3 linked regions of the Drosophila melanogaster genome follow. The protein of the gene in region 2 interacts with the protein of the main gene of each other region in a pairwise test. Each region holds a gene or a part of one and is shown on either strand. Other genes may lie near its edges.

What was found. The genes of interacting proteins can lie anywhere in the genome.
Region 1: the proteins of CG31550 (region 2) and Cpr72Ea interact in a two-hybrid assay, tested with the Drosophila melanogaster proteins (one large-scale study listed by BioGRID).
Region 3: the proteins of CG31550 (region 2) and Jon99Fii interact in a two-hybrid assay, tested with the Drosophila melanogaster proteins (one large-scale study listed by BioGRID).

Annotation. Positions count from the first base shown.
Region 1 is NT_037436.4:16,360,666-16,364,663, reverse strand, and holds Cpr72Ea (cuticular protein 72Ea), read right to left. Parts: upstream 2,062-3,998; 5' UTR 2,015-2,061; coding exon 989-2,014; 3' UTR 914-988; downstream 1-913.
Region 2 is NT_033777.3:5,483,636-5,490,423, reverse strand, and holds CG31550 (uncharacterized protein), read right to left. Parts: upstream 4,882-6,788; 5' UTR 4,786-4,881; coding exon 4,244-4,785; intron 4,190-4,243; coding exon 3,540-4,189; intron 3,374-3,539; coding exon 3,247-3,373; coding exon of another isoform or gene 3,243-3,246; exon of another isoform or gene 2,590-3,242; coding exon 2,117-2,589; intron 1,893-2,116; coding exon 1,334-1,892; intron 1,281-1,333; coding exon 1,151-1,280; intron 1,058-1,150; coding exon 1,031-1,057; 3' UTR 935-1,030; downstream 1-934. Other genes in the region: NKCC (sodium potassium chloride cotransporter), read left to right, coding at 181-454, 525-641; ksr (kinase suppressor of ras), read left to right, coding at 6,787-6,788; Hcs (holocarboxylase synthetase), read right to left, coding at 5,517-5,694, 5,765-6,096.
Region 3 is NT_033777.3:30,486,103-30,489,932, forward strand, and holds Jon99Fii (jonah 99Fii), read right to left. Parts: upstream 1,827-3,830; 5' UTR 1,802-1,826; coding exon 998-1,801; 3' UTR 914-997; downstream 1-913. Other genes in the region: Jon99Fi (jonah 99Fi), read left to right, coding at 2,886-3,689.

The DNA.
Region 1 (3,998 bases), on a different chromosome or scaffold from region 2:
ATTTGTTTTCATCTGCGCAAGGGGCAGCAACACTTATGTACATACATGTATGTATGTATCTTATAGGTATCGCACTGCATCGGATGTGGACATGTACAGAGACAAGCAACAACGTTCCGCAATGCCACAAAGCAAGAACTTAATCAGGCTGCTGGCTGCTCTTCAGTGGCTCCGGATGTGCACTGAGAGAAAGTGGAGTTGAAAAATGAAGAAAAATTATGAAATGAAGAGAGGTTGTAATTTTTTAATTAATTAAAAAGCTAAGACTTTCGTTATTTTCGAGCTAGAAACAACGTTATTTAAATAATTAGTGTCGAATGATAACCAAGAGTTACCATGTTTTAACAGCACTTTTAAACTTTTATAAAAATGTGTCATACTTATTGGTCATTTGTTTCTCTCAGTGTGAGCTGCAAATCATCCGGATAGGGGTCAAGGAACCGGGTGGGGCTATAGGACACGCCGGCTACCAATTCCAGTTTTAGTTATTTAGGTTGTTGCCTTTGCCGTTGTTTATGCTGCTATTAAATTTAATTGAAATCAAAATTCGGCCCACATTTATGAAGAGTTTATGCTGCACATATGTGGAATGTGATCGGTGGGTCGGGGGGCCAAAAGGTTGAGGTAGGACAGGGTCCGAGTGAACGTGTTCCGTGAGTCCAGGAGTTGGGCAGCTAAAGGGTTCAGTTCAGCCGGATCTTGAACTTTAGGTGTCGCGAGTTTAGTTATGATTATATTCAAATAAAGATACAAATGTTAAAACTAGAAATTATAAAGAAATTTGTTGATTGAAGAATAATTTTAGAAAGAATACTTAGAAAGAATATATTTCGAACAAATATTGTGTTACCAAAATGAATTTGCTAAAAATTTCTTTATATTATCCCATTACCACTTCAAAAGAAACGTTGCAGACTGATTGACAATTTTTTAATTTAAATTCGAAATTCTTAAATAATGAACCAAATCGTGCGAATTCAGCTGCCATTCAATAGTAAAATCCGGGGGTGTAGTACCTGGGAATGGTGTAGCCGTAGACCGGAGCAGGAACCACGACATGGTGGCTGCGAGCCACAGCAACTGGAATCTTGGCCAGCACCTGGTTGCGCACGCCTTCATCGTGGACGCGTTGAAGATGAAGCGACTTGGCCGCAGCCACTTCTGCGGTATCAGAAACGGGATGAGGCAATTGGGAGTGGCCACCATGGGATCCGGATGGGTCTGAGCCAGAAACCGGGTGCTCGTGGTGTTCGATAGAATGGGGCACCTCTGGATGAGCACTTCGACCGCTCTCAACGACAGTGTGATGATGAGGAACCTCAACGGGATGGTTGCCAACAGGATGCTGAGCTACAGCAACGGGGTGCTCATGGTGCTCGACGGGATGATGTCCATCTGGATGAGCACTTCGGCCGGTTTCGACAACAGTGTGATGATGTGGAACTTCCACGGGATGATGGCCAACAGGATGCTGAGCTACAGCAACGCGGTGCTCGTGGTGCTCGACGGGATGATGTCCATCTGGATGAGCACTTCGTCCGCTTTCAACAACAGTGTGATGATGTGGAACTTCAATGGGATGGTGGCCAACAGGATGCTGAACTACAGCATGCGACACCTCCGCGTGATGCTCAACATGGTGGTCTACTGGATGCGACGCGCTCCTGGGACTAAATTCTAGCGACTCCTGGGGAACTTTAGCCTTTGGCAGATTAGTGGCTGCCACATGGAAACCTTTGTTGTCGGCCACATAGTTAACCGTTTGCAGCTTTCCCGCCGCATCCCGGTAACTATAGTATCCTTGGGTGATTCCGTCTAGGGTGCGGGTCTCCTGTTTGCTGGACAATGGTTCCGAATAGCCATAGGAGTACTGACCCAACTCATCCTTGGCGATATACTGGCGCTGGGTGGGCGTGAACACGGCGGATCCCTCGGCAGTGTACGCATAGGGATAGTACAAGGCCAGTCCGTGGGCCAAGCTGAGGCTTCCTAACAGCAGAAGTGGATACTTCATGGTTGGGCAGTGGAAGATTGCTTCGAGTGAGTCTTGTTCGTCAGTTCACTGGTAACTGTTGATTCTGAGCCTAGGTCTTCATCCTTTTATACCCAGCAGGTTCTTTCGCGAGTTCTAGGTTCTGGTTCTGGCTGAGGTTCCTGCCGGTCAGATGCTTCTATTCTGATACACTGCGAAAAAATTCTAAAAGTATGCCATATTATTATCTAAGAGAGTATACAAATGTTTTATGCTCTTTTACCCTAATATAGTAACGTGATTTTTATGACTTAAATTAAATCCAAAAATAAGTAGTTCGTAATTTGTTTAATAATGATTTGTACAAAGCTTAAAACATAAATTTAAATGCATATAAATAATAATATTGCTAAAAAAGACTGTTCTTAAATTCCTGAAATTTTAATTTTATGATTATGACAATCATTAAAAAAATATTTTATTATTGATAAAAAAGGTGGTTTATTGTACTTAAATAGAATTCATCAAATTTGTACAAGCACACGTATTTCATTAAAGAATAACCTAATAGTAATAATATCTGTCACATTTTAAAATAGTAAACAGCCAATTAATTTTTTCTCCAAATGTATCCATCAGATGCACTTCAATGCAAACGAGGAGATGCGAATGCGTCGTCGTGTCCACTTGTGTCGTTAACGGACATTGCAGCTCCGCCTTTCACTCCCCTTTTGGGGATCGACGCCTCGTGAAGGCGTTGTCAATTTGGTTTAATTGTGGCCAAGGCTGGAGTGGGCCCAAATGAGGGAGGCAGACCCTGGTTCTCCGCAGCGGGAGGAGCAATCGCTGCCTGGCATCTCCATCTGCATCTGCATCTGGATCTGCAAGCGAGCCAAGGGCCTTGGCTGGGTGGACCATCAAGGCCAAAGACCGCATCCAGACCAGCGTGTAATTGATATGCAATCGTTGTTGCTGCCACAGCATTGTGGCATCTCAGCCTCCTTTTTGTTCGCACACTGCAACGGGGCCACGACAACAACAGCAACTTCAACTGCAACAGCAAATGCAACAACTGTGGCAACAACCGACGACGACAACAACGGCATCTCAAGGTGAGTGAAGGCCAAGGGCCACATTTGGCCACAGCTTGGACACGGGAGTCATGCACTCCAGTGGCGAACAAAATGGGGGTCTTAGGGGGGTCATAAGTACCCTTAAAAATTATAATACTTGGTTAGATACATATGTATGTACATAAGAAATATATGTTTTATGCGAAGAGCTTACAAATATGACACAGAAAAGGGTTAATTAAATCGTTAAGTCCGCTAAATAAATAATATAATGTGAATTTTTAGACACCTTATAGTATACACTGAAGATATATACTTATTTCAACCGGACACTAAGAAAACCCCCTAAGAATATGTTTCCCATCCGCCTCTGATGCACTGCAGCTGCATTGGTATCTCCTGTTCCTCCTTCGCTGGTCATTTTTATTTTTAGCAGCGGGCTTATCGGATGCCTCAGATCTCTGGTGCTTAAACTTCGCTCCCGATTAGGAGGAGGAGGAGGAGCAACTGCAAGAACCACATTGGATTGGCCTTGACGGCTCGGCTGATAAGTGCGTTTTAATGTTAGCCCCGTTGGCACTCAGTTTCAATCAAAGCCCAATTCTCTACAACCATTCCAGCCTGGCTTAATGAGCTGGTTAGTTCTGGCCTGGAATTGAAGTTGGATTGGCAATATAGTCCGGTCCACTTGGTTCACTCCCTTTGTTCTGTCTCGAGTGGACTGTGCCCTGATTTGTGTACCACCATTGGTTCTTTGAACTGCCTTCGTGGCTAATTAAAGGTGCACTTAAGATAGGCCAGGTGGCAAGAATCATGTTTTTCATTTTTCAGGACTGGGAGTACTTTGATTTTATGTCCTAGAAAAAAAGAGCAAACGAATCAGTCTAAAAGGTATTTCAGCTGTAAAACATTCCATAAATATAGGAAATTTAACTCTTTCTAATTTTAATTAA
Region 2 (6,788 bases):
AGAGTTCCGATCAATAAAAAGGAGAGGATATGCCTTCCACCATCCCATATAGTTCCGTGAGACCGAAGAAGAAGCCAGGACGGAAATCAAAAGATGATTATTACTCTCACTATACTATACTATTATTTTGAAAATATTGTCACAAATATGATAGTACAAATGGTAAATTCTACCCTACAGCATGGCTAGCTTGTTGACCAAGTTCCGCATCAAGTACTCTGAGCTCATTATGCTGAAGGGCGTCTCCGAGCAGCCGCGGGCGGACACGGTGCTGAAGCACAAGCGGCTGATCGAGCCCTTCCGCCGCGGAGCCCGCAACGAGTTCGGCATCACGGACGATGAGCTGCAGAGCATGTCGGAGAAGACGAATCGCCAGCTGCGCATCCATGAGCTGGTGGTCAAGCACTCATCAAACGCTTCCCTGGTGGTCATGTCCCTGCCCATGCCGCGCAAGGTGAGACATTCGGAAATGAGCACTAACATCGTGATTGACCACTAACACATGCGTATTTTTGTATTTCCAGGAGGCCATCTCGGCACCGCTGTACATGTCATGGCTGGAGATGCTCACGTCGGACATGAAGTGTCCGGTGGCATTGGCGCGCGGCAACCAGACGCCCGTGCTGACGCTCTACTCCTAGACTAGCCCTCGCTTCCAGTTCGAGTACAACTTAGTATTATTAGCGTTTAGGTGGTCCAGTTCCCAGTTCCCGGTAGAATCGAATCAGTCCCTTGATTGGGAGTTGTGCAATGTGCCGCCGAATCAAAATGGAATTCCAGAGCCCAGACTCTCGTTCTAAGAGACCTCCACACTTCTTACTTACGTACTCCTTTGTACGATCGAACTCCTAAACGCTTGCAATAGATTTAAGTTAATTACGAACTACTTACTGAATAAACGACCCCCTAAAATAAACTGACGTGTCCGCTGTTTAATTTAAACGAGGACATTTTATTCAGCAAAGTTGCAGTTGAATAAGTGGACCTAGGATATTGGTAGTTATGTGGGTAGGGGTCATTTTAGGTAGTGCTAGTAGTAGGCGCGACGTGGATTGTTCTGCAAACAAATAAGAAGTCATATATATTAAGCATTTATAGCTATCATATTAGTTATGTTCTCTTCCCTTGCCAGTTTCCAGGGATTACTTACCAAAGGATTTGGACGAAAACGATAGGCCAACATCATTCGCTTCCTGTAGGCGTCATATTCATTGTCGCAGTCCTCTGGCTGGGCAGCGCTGCTGACACCAAGTCCTTGGTTTCCATCGCGTTGCGGTGCCCTGTTGCCATATTATACAGTGAGATACTTTCAAACATAGGATAGGTAACCTACTTGTTAACGGGGTCCACAATTCCAGCTCCGTCCTGTCCTAAGCCCTGCCCCTCTTTCCAGCCGAGTTTTTGCAGCATTTGGAAGCCAATGTTGTCCTCCTTTAGTTTGTACTCCTTGTAGTCGCTTAGATCCGGCTGCCTGTTGTTCTTCTTCGCCTCGTACTGCTCCATGAACTTCTTGAGCTCCTCGGGGGGCAGAAAGTCGCCGATGTGATGCTTGCCTTCGCTTTGCTTGGTCAGGGCGTTTGCCCATAGGGATGTGGCCTCCATTTCGGCTGTTCGCAACTTGTGCTCCCACGTCCCGCCCTCAATGTCCTCGTCCGAGTCGTATTCGTACTTGAATTTACCGCCACGGGCCAGTCGATCGATTTCCTGACGCTTGCGCATCATGTCCTGATACAGCAGGTTTACTTTGTAGTGCTCCTCGCACTGCTTCCACTGCTCCTCGCTCAGCTGAGTCGATCCATAGTTGAGCCGAGCATACTGCAACAACGCGGGATCTGTTCGCGTGATGCCACTTAGTATGGGTTTATTTTGGTTACCAAAGTTTCCCGAAGTGCCTGTAGATAATAAGGATTGTTGTCAGTAGCGTCATAATTATACATATTATTTCAGTGGTAGTGGCAGTCGTCTACATCTTTCTGGTTTTTAAAATCTGCGAGATCACAGCGTTCATACGGACGGACAGACAAGCAGATAAACGGACAGACGGGAATTGACAGATCGACTCGGGCTGTGATCACGAATATATATACTATTTAGGGTTAAGAGTATATAAACATACTTGAGGATGGCAACTGTTGCTCTTTCTCGCCCCATCGGCTCTTGCGCTCGCGCTTCCTACGCTGCCTCTGCGACTCCTTGTCGTCTTGGTCGTCCTGGTCATCGCCATCCGGCGGTTCTCCGGATGCAGCCTCCTCCCGTTCGCGCCTCTCCTCGTCGCTCAGCTCGTTGCGACACTCAATGCGGCGCTTGATGTTGTCCCGGTTGCGATCCATCATGCCCCGCATGTACTCGTCATCCGAGTCGAAGTCCGCGCTGATGGCCGACTCTGGGTCGTACTTGTCAGCCGCCGAGTTGCTGTGCTGCTCCTCGCGGTGTTGCTGTGCGTCCGTCTGCTCCGTCGCCTGCGGCTGATGGTCCCGGCTTAGCTTCTGATGCTCCCGCTCCCGTTGTCGCTCAGCCCGCTGCTGTTTGTAGTCGAGGAGTTGGTCGCTATAGCTTCGATACTGCTCGCAGCTCTTATCATAAAGAAACCTATTATCAAAATTCAAAAGAAGTGAAAAGTACAATGAAAAGTGCTCGACGTTAGTCACGTGTACAAAGACATTATATGAATAACTGTTTGAGGCGCCCCAATAGCGGCTTATTCAGAGATTATTAGTTGTCATCCGCCGGCTGGCTCCTCCAGACTTTAGATGACGATCGAGGAACGACGGAACACTGTGCGCTCGATGAGTCCACGCGACTGGTCTGGCTAATCCTCCTACACCCCCATCAAGTTGGTCCGTTTTGTCAGATGTTACATGGCATTGGTAGTATTAATCAGACATCTAACTTAAAACGCATCAAAGAAAAACATGTACATGTCCACTGTTTGTGATTTTAAATTCACGATTGAGTAAGCGGAACGGAAATCTGTGCGTCTGTGTGTGTCGTGTGAAATATCGGAGTAATGGCAATTAAAAACAACCAAACTATAACATAAATCGGACTAATTTTTAAAATTCAATTGTTACTATCCTAAAGAACTGGCACTTATACAATGATTCAACTTGCGAAAGCAATTAAGTAAACGTGAAAAATCCCCAATTAAGACGGACTGTACGACCCCCCCCCCCCCCCTCCCCCGGTCCATCCCTTATGTGCATCTACTACCACTAGTCCCAGTTAAAACATGTTTAGGTCATTTACCACAAGGCCGGATGCAACTCGCTTCTATGCAAACGTATTTTATCTTCATAATCTTCACCATTTTCCGCGACCAGTGCGATTAGGTTTTCTAAGCACGTTGGCAATTGTATGCACGTTTCTGAAAAAACTACATAAATTGCTTTAAAATCGTGCTCAACGATTAAAGTTCTATACAAATTGAATGAGTAGGAAGTTGGATGTGGTTAGAATGAGAGTATATATTGGATGTGGATAGGGAATGGAGATGGCAAATCAAAACAGGCAACGAGGACTGTTTTGCAAGTGTTACACACCTTGTGGCGGCGCAGCTGTGGGCTGAGGTGGATGTGGAGGTGCCACCTGCTGGCGCTGTTGCTCCATTTCCTCCACTACAGGTGGCGGCGGAGGCGGTGGGTGTGGATTCACTGGCATGGACATGCGGTCCGGCAGGAGGCCAAGCTGCTCCGTCGAATGACCACCGATGCTGGGCATCTGGATAGCCTCCAGATTTATTTGTGGCTTAGGTATGGCATTTAAGTCAAACTCTTTGGGCGCCGGTATGGCATTCAGCTGCATAGCCTCCACTGGAGACGGACCAAGCTGCATGTAAATCTGTCCCATGTTGGTCAGAGCGATGGGCAGCTGTGGAGGCGGTGGAGGTGGCGGAGGAGCAACTGCCGCCGGATGCAAGTGCAGAGGCAAATGGCCGTGGAAGAATGCAGCTGGCAGCTGCATCTGCGGTGGTCCCTGTTGCAAAAGCGTAGGATTGAATGCAAATGGAGGCGGCGGTGGTGGCTGCACTGCTTGCACGGGTAGTCCAAAAGCCAAATGAGTTGGCGCCGAGCTGGTCACCGTAATGGAGGTAGCCATGGCTGCTGCCGAGCTTATGGCGATGGCCGCCTCTAGCTGGGGACTGTTGTTCTGCTCTGCTGTTTCCGTGTCCACGGCTTTGTTCTCCTCGGCGCTATAATTACCCACAAATTAATATACATTAATATTTTTACGATAGTGGACTCACCTGGGCACTGGAACCGGCGGAACAATCAAGGGCTGCGGAGGCTTTTCGTGCTTTTCGAGTATTTTCTTGAAGTTCTCTAAAAAGGAACCATCGTTGCAGAAAGTGTTTTTAACCTTCGGTGGTGGCTGCTCAACACTGGGCTGAGGCAGCTGCTGACGCTTCATGCCAAATGTGATCTTGCCCGTTTTGCCAGTGAAGCTATTCAGCGTCTTGGGGGCCACCGCGTCCTCCGTCTTTCCCTTGCTGGCCGTGGCCTCAATGTGAACAGCCTCCAGGCCATCCTCGCCGGCCGCTAGAGAGGTGTCCTGGACGGCGGTGTCCAGGTATCGGGCATCCTCCTCATACTCCACCTCGTTGCCAATGGGTTTTCCCACAGTCGTCTCGGTTTTCAGCTGCGCTGCCAAGTTCTGCGCCGCGGCCACCGCCTTCGCCAGCTGTGCCGTCTTCTGCTTCTCGAGGATCTCTTGCCGTTTCTTGGCTATGATCTCCTCCTGCTTTGTCATCTGGGCGAAGCGGTCCACTCTGTGATTTCGCTGTGACATAATTCCCAATGCCGCAGACTCCGTTTTATTCCACAATTTTCTTTTCCAGCAAAGCAACAGTGTAACCAACTCACATACTTGGAATTATACCAAGTCTTCGCATCACCAGTGTTGACAATTTTATAGGAAACTACACTGTCAAGCTCTCTTTAGTTCAGTTCAAAAAAATTTTAAAAAATATAACTTTCTAATGAAAGTTCAGTTCAAAAAAAAATTTTAGAAGAATAATAAAATAAACAATTTTAGAATAAAAAAATTATGTAATAAAAAAATCCATCTTAAATTTAAGATAAGACCTGTGCGGCAGTTAATCTCAGTGGTCTAAGGTCAGCAATGATCGAATATGTATTTATTAAATTCAAATTTCAAAAACACCCGTATGCAGAGGAATCGATGGCGATAACAATGGTAACAAACGCGATTATCTTACGAAGTAATTTCCAAACACTGGTTTATAGGGAACAAACAAATGTACCTGTCATTATAAATATTTTGAGACTTCCTTTAACATATAATTCTCTTTGGCAGTATTTAATTTAGTGGATTAAATTATCCATTATTATTTCGTAAAGCCACTTAAGAAGAATCACCTTGTAAATATTTATAAGGATAAACGTTTTTACGTAGTTATAAATTGACCTAAATTTGCCTAAAAAGTACAAGTTGCTTAAGGGCCAATTAAACTAGAGGGTTCGGGGAATAATATGAGTTTTCACATCTGCTTCATTTCACTATTGATACTTGGGTATAATCAATCCCTTCAACATATCAAAGCTGTTTCCATCGGGCTGCACAATTTCTATAGTACCAGTTGGTAATTTCACCTCCAAAAATCCAAAGTCATCGATTCCCACAATTTCGGCCTCTTTTTCCTGATCTTTTTGTAGGCAAATCTTAACAGATTGCCCGCTGTACATAAAAACATGTTAGTAAATGTAATATGCAAATTAAATGTATTTTAAAAATGTTTTAAATTTACCTGTGTAACCATAGCGAATAGTATAATGCATAAAAACTATCAAAGTCTCCGTTTTGTACTTCTCCCAAAAGTCTTTCGATTTCATTGAATATCATGGCAATAAGTAGCTCGTACTTAAGTATAGGTAACTTGTTGTTCGGGACACGGGTATTATATTCTCTTATCAAGTCATTGATGCAAACTGTTGGTCTTGAATTGTTCAAATTAATTCCACTTCCGATATTGACGATGGCTTGGGATCCCTGAAGTGTGGTATTAATGACGAGGCCCCCAATTTTCTGATTTCCATTTGCATAAATGTCATTCGGCCACTTAATGGAAATATCCAGCACCTGAAGGTGATATGAATAAATTAAGTAAAACTCGCCTATCTCCGTAATATTACATATCATAAAATATAAATTGGAACATCAAATATTAACTTAAAAAAATTATTTTTAGTTATAAAATTAAAATATTAAAATAATATCTACCTAATTTCCATTTCCAAATAATAAAATATAAATATTAAAATATTTGACTTATTTCGACTAATAAAATAAAAATGTGAAAATAATTTCTGGATTAATTTTTCAAATAGAATTGAAATATATATGCTATATACACTCGAAGACATAATATAATTACAACATAAGAATAATAATACTTAACGTTCTATTTTTTTTAAATACAGAGGAGTGCCCCTAAGTTTTTCGGATAAGTGCTTTTAGTACATTTTGGTGTGCAGTGAGAAGGAGTCCTCCCGGGTATGGTCACACTTCTCTCGATGCGCTACTTGGGTGTAGAGAAATTTCAACAACAGCCGAGGAACTTGTACAAATTATTGCTTTTTCGCATTGCCTAAGCCGTTTAGAGTTGCGGGCGTTAGCGTGCGCGATAGCCGGAGCACCGAACGTCAAGGTCGCTTGGCGAGGGCCACAATGCGGGGCGGAGTCCCAGCCATTGGTCCCATCGAATCGTCGAGTCCCCGAGGGGGCGTCTGAAAAAATCAATCGGGCTCCACTCCGTCGCGAATAAGCAGGAT
Region 3 (3,830 bases), about 25 Mb from region 2:
GGGTTTTTGTGCGGGTGAGTAAATACCAATCGGATTATTCTTGCGGCATATGCCTCACTGCGTTGCATACTTTGCGGTGCTCCGGAAACCAACTATCGAATTTGGCCTGAAATGTGAAAAGGCCAAGGGAGGCGAAAAATGGCCGGCCATTTTGCATTCGGTATTAGCCAAAATAAAATATATTAGCCTGAATTTTAACTAGGATGATAGGATGTACTGGCTAAGCTGTCATTTATAATAAAAAAGTTGGTTTCAACGGAAGCCTATTATAATAGACGAAAATTGTGAGTGAAAGCTGTTATCAGTTCATCGTGGCCAAATAAATACAAACATCATTTAAAGTCGTAACTGGTTATCGGCACAAATTCAGTTTGATTTATAATAGTTCTTAACAGATTTCTTGGGTACATTGGCATTTTTTTTTGTACCGTATAACTCGATTAAAGATTAAATTGATAAATTTACATTTTTGCAATGACTCAAATATTATTTTATGTACCTCTAAGCGTTACAAACTTGACAATTCGTGAATTCATTCGTCATAAATTTTCAATAGACACACTTCCTCTGCACTTATCATGTGATAAAATATTGCCGTAGTTTAGTGCTCCCTATTGGCACCTCCGACTAAAAAGTTAAGGGTTTTTAATAATACTCATTCCTTTTTTGGGGGAAATAATAAAAGGATTATTTCTAGCAAAGAAGGTCTTGCGCAGGCGAATAAGAAATATCCTTCGTAGTTACTATGTGGCGCCATCTAAATAGACTGCTCAGTCTATAGAGCAAAACGCTCTTAACTATTTCCGAAATTAAATTTCGCTTTGAGATAGGTTTGTAACAAAATTGGCAAACGACAAAACAAACAAAACATGAACATTCAAAATAGTACAAAGATATAAAAGTCCGCAAATTTATGTTCTACAAATTTTATTAAAAAATTCCAAAAAGATAAACGGAAAAGAAAACACTAAGCTATTAGTAGAAAAACACTAAGCTCTTAGTACGAGATGCCGGTGTTGTCGCGGATCCAGTCCAAGTATCCGGTGACACGGCTGAAGACAGCGGGAGCACCAGACTGGCAGCCGGCGGAGGAAACGAAGGAGGTTACTCCGACCAGGCGGTTGCCCTCGTGTGTGACCAGGGGACCACCGGAGTCACCTCCGCAGGTGGACTTTCCGCCGTTGGTGTTGATGCAAATCATGTTGTCGTGGAGAGACCACGAGCGGCTGCAATCACTCTGGGACATGATCTGGACATCGACAGCCTGGAGCCAGTCGGGCAGTGGGCTGCCATCGTAGGTGCCGCCCCATCCGGAGGCCACGGCCCACCATCCGGCGTAGTCCTGGTAGCGGTCGTTGTAGCTGGGCAACTCCACCTTGTTGACCAGGTGCCAGAAGTCGACGTGCGGGGTGCGGATCAGGGAGATGTCGTTGTGCAGGTTGCCGCTGTTGTAGTGGTGGTGCTGGACGAAGTTTCCGCTTCCAACCCAGTGGGTGTACTGGGGCTGGTTGCGCAGACTGGCTCCGTAGTTGATGGTCACTCCACTGGCTCCGTTGGTGCAGTGGGCGGCGGTCAGGACCCAGGTGTTGCCGATGATCGAGCCACCGCACCACCAGTTTCCATTGCCACTGAAAAGGAGACCCACGATGTAGGGTACCTTGCCCTCGTAGGCTGGGTAGCCGTTGGTAATGCGACCCTGGATCTTGACATCCTTCACCGGGGTGGGGACCAACTTTTGCTCCGGGGTAGGAATGGCTGTGGCGGCGGCCACGGCCAGAGCCAGGAATACGAACAGTTTCATCTTGGCAGGTCTAACAACTTGTGCCTTGTTCAGAAACGGACCGAGCTTTTATACCATCGCCTTATCAATACCATGGTTTCTTGTCGCTTTTTAGTAATACTTGTTGCCAATATATTTTGCCAGATTTCTGTCGTGGCAAGTTAAGCTGGCTGATAAAACTTAAATTATTGCCTGTACTTGGCAATTGATGAGTGCCATTATTAGAGTAAGTCCATAGTCTGTAATGTAATCCTTCGATCTTACAATTTATATAAAATTAAAGATTGTCAAGACGATTATCACATTTGCAAATCGAACCAACATACAAAAATCAAATAAATATACATTTACATTACATACTATCATATTCTATCAGTAAAATATTTACTAAGCAGCAGCTTTAAAAGTCGCGATCGCATGACGAAATGAATCAACGCTTTAAATTTTGTCCTTTAAGGATACTTTTCAATTCTTAAGCTAAACAGGAAACTAGATATATAAATAATTAAATTCTAAAAGTCGTAGTCTGTTACGTCTTTGACGATCTGAAAGGTTTATGTTTGATATTTACGAGGTACGCATATCTTCCTCAACAATCACACTTATGTCTCTAATCTAGTTTAGGACACACGTACGATGAATGATAATTACTTGAGTAGCGACCATAAATAAACGTCTTTCTCTACTGATAAAAATGTACTACTAGGAGCTACCAGCTAAAAATTATGAACTGATTGCGGCTTTCATTCATTATTTTTGTACTCATTCAGCATTGCAATGGAAAGTCCATACTACGATTACTTTACCATTATATCAAAACTTTAAAGACTAACATAAAAATAAAAACAAAATGTTTAGGGAAATATGGTAAGACAACGGAGTTTTCACACATTACAGAATATACGAAACTTTGAAATCTTGAGTACACGCCATATATTCACGAAAGACTCGTTCCGTTCCTCCCACTTCTCAGACGCCAAACTTATCATGCCAAATTCTGGACAAAATATACAGCCGTCGTTTCCTGGGAATGATAAGCCATTGTATTCAGTATAAAAGTGCGTTCAGTTTTTGGAAAAACCATGAGTTGTAAGACCTGTCCAAGATGAAACTGCTCGTATTCCTGGCTCTGGCCGTGGCCGCAGCCACAGCCATTCCTACCCCAGAGCAAAAGTTGGTCCCCACCCCGGTGAAGGATGTCAAGATCCAGGGTCGCATTACCAACGGCTACCCAGCCTACGAGGGCAAGGTTCCCTACATCGTGGGTCTGCTGTTCAGCGGCAATGGAAACTGGTGGTGCGGTGGCTCGATCATCGGAAACACCTGGGTCCTGACCGCCGCCCACTGCACCAACGGAGCCAGTGGAGTGACCATCAACTACGGAGCCAGTCTGCGCAACCAGCCCCAGTACACCCACTGGGTTGGAAGCGGAAACTTCGTCCAGCACCACCACTACAACAGCGGCAACCTGCACAACGACATCTCCCTGATCCGTACCCCGCACGTCGACTTCTGGCACCTGGTCAACAAGGTGGAGCTGCCCAGCTACAACGACCGCTACCAGGACTACGCCGGATGGTGGGCCGTGGCCTCCGGATGGGGCGGCACCTACGATGGCAGCCCACTGCCCGACTGGCTCCAGGCTGTCGATGTCCAGATCATGTCCCAGAGTGATTGCAGCCGCACTTGGTCTCTCCACGACAACATGATTTGCATCAACACCAACGGCGGAAAGTCCACCTGCGGAGGTGACTCCGGTGGTCCCCTGGTGACACACGAGGGCAACCGCCTGGTCGGAGTGACCTCCTTCGTTTCCTCCGCCGGCTGCCAGTCTGGTGCTCCCGCTGTCTTCAGCCGTGTCACTGGATACTTGGACTGGATCCGCGACAACACCGGCATCTCGTACTAAGTGAATGAGCAGTAACGAATTTAGCAAATTTTAAAGAACACTCTGTCTGCAGTCATTTAGATTACGGATGAGAGACTCCAAATAAATAATTGCAATGAGAATATAACCACCTGTTCAGCTATGAAATTTGAGGGCAGGAGA